2 linked regions of the Anolis sagrei genome follow. The protein of the gene in region 2 purifies or fractionates together with the protein of the main gene of each other region. This does not show direct contact. Links are inferred from orthologs where the notes say so. Each region holds a gene or a part of one and is shown on either strand. Other genes may lie near its edges.

Evidence for each region.
Region 1: the proteins of VAMP5 (region 2) and STX12 purify together in Homo sapiens (affinity purification with mass spectrometry; 3 studies listed by BioGRID and IntAct, with this or other methods). This does not show direct contact. The link is inferred for Anolis sagrei from reciprocal best matches to the Homo sapiens genes VAMP5 and STX12.

The regions. Positions count from the first base shown.
Region 1 is NC_090034.1:86,897,583-86,905,812, reverse strand, and holds the start of STX12 (syntaxin-12), read right to left. Parts: upstream 3,110-8,230; 5' UTR 2,971-3,109; coding exon 2,862-2,970; intron 1-2,861. UniProt on the Homo sapiens protein: SNARE promoting fusion of transport vesicles with target membranes. Together with SNARE STX6, promotes movement of vesicles from endosomes to the cell membrane, and may therefore function in the endocytic recycling pathway.
Region 2 is NC_090027.1:22,924,871-22,932,380, reverse strand, and holds the start of VAMP5 (vesicle-associated membrane protein 5), read right to left. Parts: upstream 3,024-7,510; 5' UTR 2,825-3,023; coding exon 2,822-2,824; intron 1-2,821. UniProt on the Homo sapiens protein: May participate in trafficking events that are associated with myogenesis, such as myoblast fusion and/or GLUT4 trafficking.

The sequences.
Region 1 (8,230 bases), on a different chromosome or scaffold from region 2:
TATTCTGATAGAAACTATGCTTATCTGAATAGATTGCATTGGCTTCAATTTCGGTAATGTGCAAAGTATTTCAAAATGCAATTTTACTAGCCAACACACTTCCCAATGTGTTGAATTATTTGATGCAACACAAAGTTGTCTTTCAATGAATGAAATATAGTCAAATTCAGAGAATTAAAAAAACCTCTCTTGCTATTGTAAAGATAATGATTACAAAACACAGGCTGACAAAGCCTGTCAATCCAACAGATCATTTTGGTGCCTGTGGGAACCAATGGCAATGCAAGGCCGAGCCTTGGGTAGATCACATAGGATTATGAGGCTATGGGTAGGAAAACGAAGGATCTTGAGGTCATAATTTCATCTGTTCTCCCAGTTCAAGGCTGTGACCCAGGAAGGGAGAGAAGGATAACAGAAGCGAATAACTGTATTTGCAGATAGTGCCAATAGAAACAAATTGACTTCCTGGTCTGAGGTTTAATAAAGTTGGACTTCTGGCAAAGGATGACTTCCACCTCCCAGAGGTTGGTAGAAATGTTTTTTGCTAGGAGCCTCGCACATTTGACGAGAAGGGCTTTAAGCGGAGTTATCTAGGAGAGTATTTGCATAGGCAGGAGTTTATCAAATCTTGGAAGCCAGGTTGAGTGTATCTGGGGAAAAATAAAGTGGAAAAGAAACTAAATGAGTGTTGCTGAGGTCTACAACAGACCTCCAAGCTAGACTGAGGACTTGGATAAGCAGCTCCATTGGCTGCCTATATGTTTCTGGGCCCAATTCAAATTGCAGATTATTACCTATAAAGCCCTATACGGTTTGGGTCCTGACTATTTATGCAACCACATCTCTGTTCAGACTTTAAGATTTGCTTTGGGGGAGGGGGGTCTTCTCATAGTCCCACCTCCATCACAAGCGCAGTTGGTGGGGATGAAGGAGAGGGCCTTCTCGGTAGTAGCCCACTAGCTCTGGAACACCCTCCTCAGGGAGATCAGGCAAGCTTCTATGCTTTGATGTTCCAGAAGGAATTGAAAGCCTGGCTTTATAAACAGGCTTATGGCAATAAAATGACAAAGGTTTCCCCTTGACATTAAGTCTAGTTGTGTCCGACTCTGGAGGTTGGTGCTCATCTCCATTTTTAAGCCAAAGAGCTGGCATTGTCCGTAGACACCTCCAAAGTAATGTGGCCAGCATGACTGCATGGAGCACCATTAAATATAATAACATCCAGCGGTTGATTTAATGGAAACAACTTTTAACTGGATTTTATTATCTTTATTTAACCAGACCAGTGACTGAGATGTTTTAATGGGTTTTAAACAACATAATTATTGTTTTATTGATGGATGATGGTTTGGTGTCAATTTAATATGTTTGTTTTCACTTTATATTGACTTTGTGTTGTTAATTTGTTGATTTAACTAGCCGCCCCCTGCCACGCGTTGTGTTGGGCCCAGAATGTGTATATGTGTTTTGTGTGTGTATATATTTGTGTATATGTGTATATATGTGGTTTTGCGCATGCGTTCTAATGTGGGTTTTTTTGGCCTTTAGTCTCTCCCATTGTGCTTTTCGGTGTTTTTATGAGTGATGGTCACTCGTTGACCTGAGAGGTGTCTTGTATCCACATTTGGTGTCAATTCGTCCAGTGGTTTTTGAGTTATGTCAATCCCACAAACGAACATTATATTCGGTTGTTGTAGGTTTTTCCGGGCTATATGGCCATGGTCTAGAGGCATTCTCTCCTGATGTTTTGCCTGCATCTGTGGCAAGCATCCTCAGAGGTAGTGAGGTCTGTTGGAACTAGGAAAATGGGTTTATATATCTGTGGAATGACCAGGTTGGGACAAAGGACTCTTGTCTGCTGGAGCTAGGTGTGAATAGGTTCTTGTAGGTTTTTTTCGAGCTATAGGGCCATGTTCTAGAGGCATTTCTCCTGATGTTTCGCCTGCATCTATGGTAAGCATCCTCAGAGGTAGTGAGGTCTGTTGGAATTAGGACAATGGGTTTACATATCTGTGGAATGGCTGGGGTGGGGCAAGGAGCTCTTCCCTGCTGGAGCTAGGTGTGAATGTTTCAACTGATCACCTTCATTAGCATTTGAAGGCCTGGCTGAGCCTGGGAAAATCCCCTGTTGAGAGGTGTTAATATGTGCCTGATTGTTTACTCTCTGTTGTTTTGCTGTTGTAATTTTAGAGTTTTTTTTAATATTGGTAGCCAGATTTTGTTCATTTTTCATGGTTTCCTCCTTTCTGTTGAAATTGTCCACATGCTTGTGGATTTCAACGGCTTCTCTGTGTAGTCTGACATGGTGGTTACATTTTTATTTATACAGATTAATAATATGTGTTTACATTTTAGTAAAGCTGTAACCCCCCCCCCCCTTGAGCTTGTGAGAAGAGGCAAACAAGAAATAAAACTAAAACTATTATTATTATTACTACTAAGCATCTTGCATGAATAGCCGAAGCTCATTTGCTCACTCACTAGGCACCTTGCAAGAGCAGCTGAAACTAACTTTTTGAACCATCCAAGGATTGGTCTGGGAACAGAAGGGAGCCTGTAGTAGGAACTTTTTGGTGATGAGAGGAAACCATCAGTGTAGCTACGTGGTATAGTGCAGGCATGGGCCAACTTGGGCCTTCCAGGTGTTTTGGACTTCAACTCCCACCATTCCTCACAGCCTCAGGCCCTTTCCTTTCCCCCCTCAGCCGCTTAAGCGGCTGAGGGGGGAAAGGAAAGGGCCTGAGGCTGTGAGGAATGGTGGGAGTTGAAGTCCAAAACACCCGGAAGGCCCAAGTTGGCCCATGCCTTGTATAGTGTTTAGGCATTTAAATATAAGCTGCATCTTAGTCCCATAGACTCACTGCTCTGTGCCAGGCGCTGGACATTGGTGCTGCAGATCTGGATGATAGCGTTGAAATCCCGGGGCGGAAAGCCCCCGGGCCTGTAAGTCTCCAACGGCCCGTAAGACATGGTTGAAGCGGGAGCTCACGAAACCAGAAGCGCCGAAATCGAAGAAGAAGAGCCAAGCCGGGCAGCCACCACCTTGACCGCGACGCACGCGCAGAACGAAGGCCTGGCTCTTCCCCTCTCCGCGCAGGCGCACAAAATAAACCCGGAAGTGACCGCTTAAGTCGCAGGGCTTAGGCTGAGGGCGTGACGGGCAGTGGAGGAGGAGACATGTGCGCATGCGTCGCGCCGGGTGCCTGACGCGGGAGCGCTTCCTGGTTGCCATAGCAACGCAGTGTTGCGGCCTGGAGTCATTTCTGATTTTAGAGCCTGGTCATGTTTTTTTTTTAAATATACTAGTTTGGGCGTTGGCTGGATTATTTGAAAAAGTCAGTTTTTAATTGTGCCAAATGCATAAGATTATAGGTGAACTACAACTCACATCAAGAAAGGAGACCCACTACAAAAAAAGAGATTCCATCTGAACGTTAGGAAGAACTTCCTGACTTAGGCAGAAAAACGAAATGTAAAGATACAGAATGGGGGACGATGAGGCCTGGATTGGGAGCAGGACGTGTGAAAAAGATCTTGGAGTCCTCGTGGACAACAAGTTAAACATGAGCCAACAATGTCATGTAGTGGCAAAAAAGCCAATGGGATTTTGGCCTGTATCAAGAGGAGCCTAGTGTCTAGATCTAAGGAAGTCATGCTCCCCATGCTCTATTCTGCCTGGTTAGACCACACCTGGAATATTGTGTCCAATTCTGGGCACCAAACTTGAAGGGAGATGTTGACAAGCTGGAATTTGTCCAGAGGAAGAGGGCGACTAAAATGATCAAGGGTCTGGAGAACAAGCCCTATGAGGAGCGGCTTAAGGAGCTGGGCATGTTTAGCCTGAAGAAGAGAAGGCAGAGAGGAGACATCTGAACATGAGGAAGTGAGAAGGACGGCATATAAATGTCGTAAATAAATAAATAAACTTAATGACTGTGAGAGCCGTTCAGCAGTGGAACTCTCTGCCTCGGAGTGTGGTAGAGGCTCCTTCTTTGGAAGCTTTTAAACAGAGGCTGGATGGCCATCTGTCAGGGGTGCTTTGAATGCGATTTTCCTGCTTCTTGGCAGGGGGTTGGACTGGATGGCCCATGAGGTCTCTTCCAGCTCTATGATTCTATCATGCCTGGTTAACCCCGAGAAACTCCATAAGTACTTACTTACTTAAGCGATCCCTCGTTGTCCAAGTAGGATAATCATCCAGGGTGGGTCCGTAGGTGACTGTGGAGCCCTATTCTTGATCTGCATCATCTCCCGCAGTGAGGGCATTGGTTTCCAGGTGGAAGGCGGTCCCAGTCGGGGTTGGCTTGACGTGCCTTCCTCTTGGCACATTTCTCTCCTTCGCCCTCCATTTGTGCCTCTTCAAATTCTGCAGCACTGCTGGTCACAGCTGACCTCCAGCTGGAGCACTCAAGGGCCAGGGCTTCCCAGTTCTCAGTATCTATGCCAGGTTTTTGTGGTTGGCTTTGAGCCCATCTTTAAATCTTTTTTCCTGCCCACCAACATTCCATTTTCCGTTCTTGAGTTCAGAGTAGAGCAACTGCTTTGGGAGACAGTGGTCAGGCATCCGGACAACATGGCCGGTCCAGCGGAGTTGATGGTGGAGGACCATTGCTTCAATGCTGGTCCAGGTCCATCATCAGTGGAGGTCAACGTTTCTCTGGTTGCGGGTAATTTATTGTTATCGTTTACATGTGATTTACTGTCAAATTCTCTGTTTTGTTTATTTTGAATTGTTTAAGTCTATTTTTGTATTGTACAACATTAAATGTTTTCCTTTTATGTTGTGAGACACCCTGAGTCCCCATAGGGAGATAGGGTGGAATAGAAATTTTGTTTACTTAATTTTACTTAAGTACTTCTTCTGATGCTGAGGGGGTGCAACTTTCCCGAAGTTACCGAGCAGGCCCATCCAGGCAGACCCTATATCCTAGGATCTGATCCCAGGTTTTCTGCTTTAAACTGGATTATATGAGTCCACACTGGCAGATAATCAGGATTAAACATAAAACCTGGTATCAGTTCCTGGGATATAGGATCTGTCTGGAAGGGCCTTGAGTGGAGATTTGAACCTTGATTTTCAGAGTTATACTCTAGTGATCATACCACTACACCAGGGGTCCTCAAACTAGGGCCCGAGAGCCGAATACGGTCCTCCAAGGTCATTTACCCAGCCCTCGCTCATGGTCAACCTAAGTCTGAAATGACTTGAAAGCACACAACAACAACAACAACTAGTATTTCAATGGGCCCACACTTCCCATTGAAATACTAGTAAGTTTATATTTGATAAAATTGTTCTTCATTTTAATTATTTAATTGTTTTAAAGTGTTTTTTGCACTACACATAAGATATGTGCATTGTGCATAGGAATCCATTCATGTTTTTTCCCCCAAATTATAATCTGGCCCTCCAACAGTTTGAGGGACTGTGACCTGGCCCTCTGTTTAAAAAGTTTGAGGACCCCTGCACTACATCATGCTGCCTATTTAGCATTGCAGTTGGAGAATTTCATTTCGAAAGGAATCAAGCAGCAGAGGGCAGCAGCAGCCTCTGAAAGTTTGTGCACATCTGAAAAGGGTTAAGTGTACTTCCTTTCTTGTGTTTATTTTCATGTGCTTGCTAGTTTCAGAACAGCAGAAGCAGGTTCCAAGAGTATGCATTGGCTTAAGAAAGCTACTACCTACATGTGAGAAATAAAATCATCTCTAAAAATAACTAGGGCTTGTTCTAATATGTACACTACTATCACTTCAGCAGTGAACTGATTGCATTCTAAAGTTCAGGCTTTCATCAATGCATAAAAATTTGAAATATGCAGGTAGCTGCCTTGATTCTTGCCAACAAGTCAGTCCAGCAGTATACATCTCTAGCACTTGCAGGTGTTTTGTTAAGCTGTGGATCTAGAATAGGTCTTCAAAGTCACTTATGGACTCTTTGCCAAGGCTCTACTGTTGGAAGACTAGACCATGAGTGATCGCCTATAGTATAGTATTCTATAGGCAGTCCTTGAGTTGCATTCTTCTGACTTACAAGCAACTCATAGTGAAGAACTCGGGTGAGATAACAGGAAGTGAGAGAAATCTGCCCCTAGGAAGGGACATTCATTCCTAAAGTTATGGGGGGGGGGGGGGGGGGATGTGCCTCCACTGAAGCTTTATCGCCAATCCTTATTTCCACAATAGGCTCTTTTTTTTTTTCAAATTCCAATTATCACAGGGACCGAAAGTGAGGTGAAATCTTCTAAACTGGGGCACAGATAGCAAAACACCACAGGAGTGTTAACCCTTCCCTATGCTATTCAGAGCAAAAAGAAAATATAGATTTTTGGCTGGAGTAGCACTTTAAAAATGTACCTTTTCTAACTTACATTCAAATTCAACTTAAGAACAAACCTACAGACTCTATCTTGCTTGTAACTTGGAGACTGCCTGTATAGTTCTTCTGACTGACTGACCAGGAACGTCTTTCTAATCTAAGTTGATTTCAACTTATGTAACCATATAAATGAAAGACCCACAAGTTGTCATATGACTGGGTTGTTATGAGTTTTCCGGGCTCCATGGCCATGTTCCAGAAGCATTCTCTCCTGACATTAATCTGCATCTATGGCAAGCGTCCTCAGAGGTTGAGAGGTCTGCTGTAAACTAGGAAAATTGGGTTTATATATCTGTGGAATGTATCCAGGGTGGGAGAAAGAACTCTTGACTGTTTGAGATAGGTGTGAATATTGCAATTGACCACCTTGATTAGCACTTAATGGTCTAGCAGTTTCAAGGTCTGGCTTCTTACTGCCTGGGGGACTCTTTTGTTGGGAGGTAAATAGCCGGCCCTGATTGTTTCTTGTCTGAAATTCCCCTGTTTTTGAGTGTTGTTTTTTTATTTACTATCCTGATTTTAGAGTTTTTTAATACTGGTAGCCAGATTTTGTTAATTTTCCTGGTTTCCTCTTTTCGGTTGAAATTGTCAACATGCTTGTGGATTTCAGTGACTTCTCTGTGTAGTCTGACATGGTGGTTTTTAGAGTGGTCCAGCATTTCTGTGTTCTCAAATAATATGCTGTGTCCAAGTTGGTTCATCAAGTGCTCTGCCATGGCTGACTTGTCTGGTTGAAGTAGTCTGCAGTGCCTTTCATGTTCCTTGATTTGTGTTTGAGCGCATTTAATGGACTAGCAGTTTCAGGGTCTGGCTTCTTACTGCCTGAGGTAGACTCCTGTAGAGGTGAGAGGATTCCTCTTGTCCTTTGCTGAATGTAGCATTTGTTGGATTTTCTTAGTGGTTCTGTAGCTAGTTTGTAAGTTGTGTTTCTTCATCAGCTTCCCTGTGTGGTCAGTGGTTCCCTTGATGTATGGTAAGAACACTCTGAGGATGCCTGCCAGAGATGCAGGTGAAACGTCAGGAGAGAATGCTTCTGGAACATGGCCACACAGCCTGGAAAACTCACAAAAACCCAGTGATTCCGGCCATGAAAGTCTTCGACAATACGTCATATGATCAACAGCCCTGCTCGGCTCTTGCAAACTCAAGTCTGTGGCTTCTTTGCTTGAGTCTATCGGGCTGGAATGCGGTCTTCTTCTTTTTGTACTATCTTACCGTCTTTTCTAGTGAGTCATATCTTTTCATTATATGGCCAAAGTACCGACATTCTCAGTTTAGTAATCCAGGCTTTTAGGAAGAGTTCAGACTTGATTAGCACGCATTCATTTGCCTTTTTTTTTGAGCAATCTGCTATCTGTAAAACTATTCTCAAGCACATTTCAAAGGAGCGGATTTTCTTCCTATTAGCTTTTATCACTATCTAGCTTTCACAGCTGTACATAGAAATGGAAAATGCTATGGCATGGGCAATCTTAGGTTTAGTATTCAGTGATGTATCTTGAAACTGAAGGATCTTGTCTAGTTCTTTCATAGCTGCCCTTCCAAGTCCTAGCTTTCTGCCCCCCCCCCCCCCCCCCCCGTATTATCCATTCTGATTAATGACTGAGCCAAGGTGTGGAAAATCTTGAACTATTGAAACATCTTCATAATCTACTTTAAAGATATGTAGATCATCTGTGGTTGTTTTATTTTTTGCGTTCCACTGTAAACCTACCTTTGCACTAACGTCTTTCACTTTCTTCAGTAATAGTTCCAAGTCTTTGCTATTTTCTGCTAGTAATATAGTGAAATGCTGTAAATGCTCCCCTCTTATCCCTCTTTAGAGCCTCCCAGTGGTTTGATATTTCCTATTAG
Region 2 (7,510 bases):
CATCTATAAATTTCTTTTCCCGTCCTCCAACATTCCATTTTCCATTCTTGAGTTTGGAGTAGAGCAACTGCTTTGGGAGACGGTGGTCGGGCATCCGGACAACGTGGCCGGTCCAGCGGAGTTGATGGCAGAGGACCATCGCTTCAATGCTGGTGGTCTTTGCTTCTTCCAGGATGCTAGCATTTGTCTGCTTGTCTTTCCAAGAGATCTGCAGGATTTTCTGGAGGCAGTGCTGATGGAATCGTTCTAGGAGTTGCGTGTGATGTCTGTGGACAGTCCACATCTCGCAGGTGTATAGCAGGGTTGGGAAGACAATAGCTTTATGAACAAAGCTGTTGGGATCCAATTTTCCTATGAGTAATAACCCAAAGTCTGCAGAATAATGGGAGTTGCAGTCTTACAGGATTTTTCATCTTCTCTGCAAAGGACAACTCCCAGGATCCCATCGCACTGAGCCAGAGGAGCTGCAAGTGGGGCCAAACCGCATTCATTCCTCATGTTGTACTTTGTTCTTTCTGGATGGCACATTGGAATTATTGAGATAACAAAACGGTTGGATTGATCTGATGCAAGTTCCTATTTGAAACATGCCTGGCAATAACCCTGATCTAGTTACTAGAAAAGGAAAGTGAAAATCCCTTGGGCTGGAGAAGGCCCCTGCCTTGCCCAACCATATTTCTAGTCTTCCAGGCTGAGGAAGATGGGAGTCCGAGAATCCGAGAGTCGGAAGGGGTCCCCAAAGGTCATCCACTCTAACCCACTTCTGCCAGACAGGAAAGCATAATCAAAACCTTCCCAACAGATGCCCATAATAGTAATAGTAGTAAAAATAGAACTATAGAATCCTAGAGTTGGAAGGGACCTCAGGGGACATCTAGTCCAACTCCAATCTACAATGGAATAAAAGCACAATCAAAACCTTCCTGACAGATGGCCATCCAGCCTCTGTATAAATAATAAGAGTAATAATAATAGTACTATAGAATCAAAGAGTTGGAAGGGACACCCAGGGGACATCTAGTCCAACCCGAATCTACAATGGAATAAAAGCACAATCAAAACTTTCCTGACAGATGGCCATCCAACCTCTGAAGAAATAATAATAGTAATAATAATAGAACTATCGAATCTTAGAATTGGAAGGGACACGCAGGGAACATCTACTCCAACACCCAATCTACAATGGAACCACAATCAAAACCCTCCTGAGAGATGGCCATTCAGCCTCTGCATTAACAACAGTAATAATAATAATAATAATAATAATAATAATAATAATAATAATAATAGAACTACAGAATCTTAGAGTTGGAAGGGACCCCAGGAGATATCTAGTTTAATCCCAATCTACAAGGAAGTAAAATCCTCCCAATAGATGGCCATCCAGTCTAAATAATAATAATAATAATAATAATAATAATAATAGAATGCTAGTTTTGGGAGGGACCTGAAGGGCCACCCATCCCATCCTTCTTTCTGCCATTATGCAGGAAAAGGATGATTAAAACCCTCCCAACTGATGGCCATTCAGCCTCTGCATACTGATGATGATTATAATAAGGTTGTGTAAATAATAATAATAATAATAATAATAATAATAATAATAATAGAACTGTACAATCCTACAGTTGGAAAAGTCACCCCCTCAAGAGCCTTCCAGCAGAACCCCCTTCTGCCATTCATAATAATAATAATAATAATAATAAGCCATTATGCAGGAAAAACACAATCAAAGCTCTCCTGGCACCAGCCTGTGTCTGAAATCTATATCATAGAATGCTAGAGTTGGAAGGGACCCCAGGGGCATCCAGACCAACCCCTTTTTTTCTGCCATTATGCAGGAAAGGCACCATCAAAACCCTTCTGACAGATGGCCATCCAGTCTCCGCATAATAATAATAATAGTAGTAATAATAATAATATCCTAGAGTTGTAAAGGACCCCAAAGGCCACACATCCTAAGATGCTTCTTTCTGCCATTATGCAGGAAAAGAACCATCAAAACCCTCCGGACATGTCCATCCAGCCTGCATAATAATAATAATAATAATAATAATAATAATAATAATAATAATACCAATAATAATAATAGAAGACTAGAGTTGGAAGGGACTCCCAAAGGTCATACACCCAACACCCTTCTTTGTGCCATTATGTAGGAAAAGCACCAACAAAACCTTACTGACAGATGGCCATCCATCCTCTGCATAATACTACTACTACTGCTAATAATAATAATAGAATACTAGAATTGGAAGGGACCCCAAGGTCCACCCATCCCAACCCCATTCTTTCTGCCATTATGCAGGAAAAGCATAATCAAAACCCTCCTGACAGATGGCCATTCAGCCTCTGCATCATCATCATCATCATCATAGAAGGCTAGAGTTGGAAGAGACTCCCAAAGGTCATCCACCCAACACCCTTCTTTGTGCCATTATGCAAGAAAAGCACCAACAAAACCCTACGGACAGATGGCCATTTATCCTCTGCATACTACTACTACTACTACTACTACTACTAATAATAATAATAATAATAATAGAATACTAGAGGTGGAAGGGACCCCAAGGGCCACCCAGCCTGACTTTCTTCTTTCTGTCATGAAACACCATCAAAACCCTCCTGACAGATGGCCATTCATCCTCTGCATACTACTACTACTACTACTACTACTACTAATAATAATAATAATAGAATACTAGAGGTGGAAGGGACCCCAAGGGCCACCCAGCCTGACTCTCTTCTTTCTGTCATGAAACACCATCAAAACCCTCCCGACAGATGGCCATCCAGCCTCTGCAATCATAGCAACACTCACCATGGCTGCTCCGGAGGCGAAGAGACTGAAGGTCCTCCGTCCTCCTTCCTCCTCCTCCTCCTCCTCCTCAGTCTCCTCCTGAGTCCGCCCCCTTCGCCCTCCTTCGTTGCTTGGACCCTCCCCTTGCTTCCCTCGGGAAGGAGGGCTTTCTCCCGAGAGGCTGGATGGCCGTCTGTAGGGAGGGCTCGGACTGTGTCTTCCTCTATGGCAGGAAGGGGCCCGACTGGATGGCCTTGGGGGTTCCCTTCCCACTCTAGGTTGTAATGATTCCACGATGAAGTAACAGAATTGTTGGGAAAGGGGTCTGTTCCTGGTTTGAAGGTGTTATTTCCTGTTTCATGGTACAGTCCTTAATTTTGAAACTTTGTTTTAGTTGCACAGACTATGTTGCATTGGTTGAAACTAGAGGAAATATTCACTGGAAAACTAGAGTAAAACCAGATCATCCAGATTATTTGCTTTGAACTGGATTATATGAGTCTACATTGCCATAAAATCTATATCATCAAAGCAGTTAATCCAGATTATCTGCTTTGAACTGGATTATATGAGTCTACACTGCCGTAAAATCCAGATTAGCAAAGCAGTCAATCCAGATCATCTGCTTTGAACTGGATTATACGAGTCTACACTGCCATGAAATCCAGATTATCAAAGCAGTTAATCCATATTATCTGCATTGAACTGGATTATATGAGTCTACGCGGCCATAAAATACATATTATCAAAACAGTTAATCCAGATTATCTGCATTGAACTGGATTATATGAGTCTACACTGCCATAAAATTAAGATTATCAAAGCAGTTAATCCAGATTATCTGCATTGAACTTGATTATATGAGTCTACAGTGCCATATAATCCAGATTATCAAAGCAGTTAATCCAGATTATCTGCATTGAACTTGATTATATGAGTCTACAGTGCCATATAATCCAGATTATCAAAGCAGTTAATCCAGATTATGTGCATTGAACTTGATTATATGAGTCTACAGTGCCATATAATCCAGATTATCAAAGCAATTAATCCAGATTATCTGCATTGAACTAGATTATATGAGTCTACATTGCCATAAAATCCATATCATCAAACCACTTCATCCAGATTATCTGAATTGAACTTAATTATATGAGTCTACGCTGCCATATAATCCAGATTATCAAAGCAGTTAATCCAGAAAATCTGCATTGAACTGGATTATATGAGTCTACGCTGCAATATAATCCAGATTATCAAAGAAATTAATCCAGATTTTTTTTGTCATGTCAGGAGTGACTTGAGAAACTGCAAGTCGCTTTTGGTGTGAGAGAATTGGCCATCTGCAAGGATGTTGCCCAGGGGATGTTTTGATGTTTTATCATCCTTGTGGGAGGCTTCTCTCATGTCCCCGCATGAGGAGGTGGAGCTGACAGAGGGAGCTCATCAGCGCTCTCCCCGGATTTGAACCTGCGACCTGTCAGTCTTCAGTCCTGCCAGCACAGGGGTTTAATCCACTACACCACCGGGGGCTCCAGTTAATCCAGATTAATTGCATTGAACTGGATTATATGAGTCTACACTGTCATAAAAATCCAGATTATCAAAGCAGTTAATCCGGATTATCTGCATTGAACTGGATTATATGAGTCTACACTGCCATATAATCCAGATTATCAAAGCAGTTAATCCAGATTAACTGCATTGAACTGGATTATATGAGTCTACACTGCCATATAATCCAATTCAAAGCAGACAATCTGGATTTAATATGGCAGTGAAGAAGGGGCCTAAGAAAGGTTAGATATATGTAAACATAGCTGTGCTAGAAATAGCAGAATGGAAAAGTCACTTGTCAAAAGAGGCTATTGTTTCCTTTGCAGGGCATCCTGTTCCTCTTTCCTTTTGGCTCCCTTGCGCTTCCTCTTCCTCTTTTCCTTCCTGTTTGGGGGCCCCTTGTTTCCTTTCTTGATGCCTCCCTGCTTCCGCGACCCCTTAATACAGTGCCTCACGTTGTGGTGACCCCCAACCATAAAATTATTATTATTGTTACTTCCTAATTGTAATTGTGTCGCTGTTATGAATCATAATTTAAATATCTGAAATGCAGGATGTATTTTCATTCACTGGACCAAATTTGGCACAAATACCCAACCACAGCGCTCCATGCCGTCATGTCAGCCACATGACCTTGGAGGTGTCTATGGACAACACCGGCTCTTTGGCCTAGAAATTGACCACCAACTGCCAGAGTTGAACACGACTGGACTTAATGTCAGGGGAAAACTTTTACCTTATCTTACCCAATATGCCCAAATTTGAATACTGTTGGGGTTGGAGGGAGAATTCATTATGTCATTTGGGAGTTGTGGTTGCTGGGATTTATAGTTCACCTACAATCAAAGAGCATTTTGAACTCCACCAATGAAGGAATGGGACCAAACTTGGCACACAGAACTCCCACGACCAACGAAAAATACTGGAAGGGTTTGTTGAGCATTGACCTTGAGTTTTGGAGTTGTAGTTCATCTGCATTCAGAGAGTATTGCAGATGGATCTGGACCAGGGGCTGCTCAACCCATTACGCAAAGTAAGCATTTACAGTATAGTTGATTTTGCCCAGGGGCGCTGTTGAGGCGCTCTTGGGGGAAAACAGACCTTGACATATGCGAGTTGTAGTTACTGGGATGTATAGTTCACCTACAATCAAAGAGCATTCTGAACTCCACCAATGATGGAATTGAACCAAATATGGCATGCAGAACTCCCACAACGAACAGAAAATATATATCAGTGATTGGTTGGGGGGGGGGGGGGCAAAATACTGTTTGCTTTTAAAAAAATATTTAAAAACTCTATTTAAAAACTCTAAAATTACAACAGCAAAACAGCAGAGAGGAAACAACCAGGTACATCTTAACACCTCTCAACAAAAGATTTTCCCAGGCTCAGCCAAGCCTTCAAATGCTAATGAAGGTGGTCAGTTGAAACATTCACACCTAGCTCCAGCAGAGAAAAGCTCTTTGCCCCACCCCAGCCATTCCACAGATATATAAACCCATTGTCCTAATTCCAACAGACCTCACTACCTCTGAGGATGCTTGCCATAGATGCAGGCGAAACGTCAGGAGAAATGCCTCTAGAACATGGTCCTATAGCCCGAAAAAACCCACAAGGACCTGTTTGCTTACCGTTGGGAATTACCTAGGGCCGCCTCTGATCTGGACCAAACTTGGCACAAATACTCAATATGCCCCAATTTGAACACTGGTGGACTTTGGGGGAAATAGACCTTGACATTTGGGAGTTGCAGTTGCTGGGATTTATAGTTCATCTGCAAACAAAGCACATTCTGAACTCCACCAATGATGGAATTGGTCCAAACTTGGCACACAAAACCCCCATGACCAACAGAAAATACTAGAAGGGTTTGGTGGGCATTGACCTTGAGTTTTGGAGTTGTAGTTCACCTACCTCCATAAAGCACTATGGACTCAAACAACGATGGATATGGACCTAACTTGGTACGGATACTCAATATGCCCAAATGTGAATACTGGTGGAGTTTGAGGTGAATAGATCTTGGCATTTGGGAGCTACTGTGATGTATAGCTCCCCTGCCATCAAAGAGCTCGGAAGGGTGTGCGGGGGGCCGGGCAGAAAGGCTGCCCAAATGGCAAGGCCGTGTGGGTAGTCCTACGCCTGGCCCCCGCGCCCTTCCGAACTCGGAACGGCACGGGTGCTGGGCAGCTCTCCCTTGCCCAAATGGCAAGGGTCAGTAGCTATTTTAGCAGGGCTGGGGCCAACCAAGGCAGCTTCGCGACCCCCCAAAATGGTCTAATGACCCCCCTAGGGGTCGCAACCCCCAGGTTGAGAACCACTGGTTTAAAAGCTATGTGACGTGAAGGACCAATTTTTCTCATTGTCTTTTTATGGACTTTGCTGCTCCCAGTGAATTTAGGGCCCTCCCAGCTCAAAAAAGGAGTCGGTTGTGATTTTCCACAGCAGAAAGAAACAGGTTTGAGTTTGCAAAACAGCTCTGAGTGCATTCTATTCAACAGAAAACACAATTTTATGGCCTTTTTAAATTGCTGTTCTCACCGAGTTCAAGGTTACCAGTTGTGCGCTCAGTGAGCCTCGTTTAGATCTCACTCAAGAGCAGGAAACAACAACAACAACAACAACATTTATCACATCAGAAGCAAACCGAGGGTACAGTTGTAATATATTTAAAAACACAAAGATAAAAAACTTGGCATTGTACTAAATGTCCTTTGACCATAATAATAGTAATAATAATAATAATAATAATAATAATAATAATAATACTTTATAATATTCCCAATGGCCAAGCGATCAAGTGTCACCAGCCAGAGGCCTATAAATATCTGGGCATACTACGGCTGGACAACATCAAACATGAACATGGTCAGCAAAGAATACATTCAAAGGGTCAGAAAAATTCTCAAAAGCAAGCTCAGTGGAGGCAATACCATCAAGGCCATAAATACCTGGGCCATACCTGTCATAAGATATACTGTTGACATCATAAACTGGACACAGGCAGAACTGGACAATTTGGACAGAAAAACAAGAAAACTCATGACCATTCATAATTCACTACATCCTCGCAGTGATGTTGACCAGCTCTATCTGCCTAGAAAGTCTGGTGGCAGAGGACTTTTACAAGTAAAAGGCTTATCTGGCCAG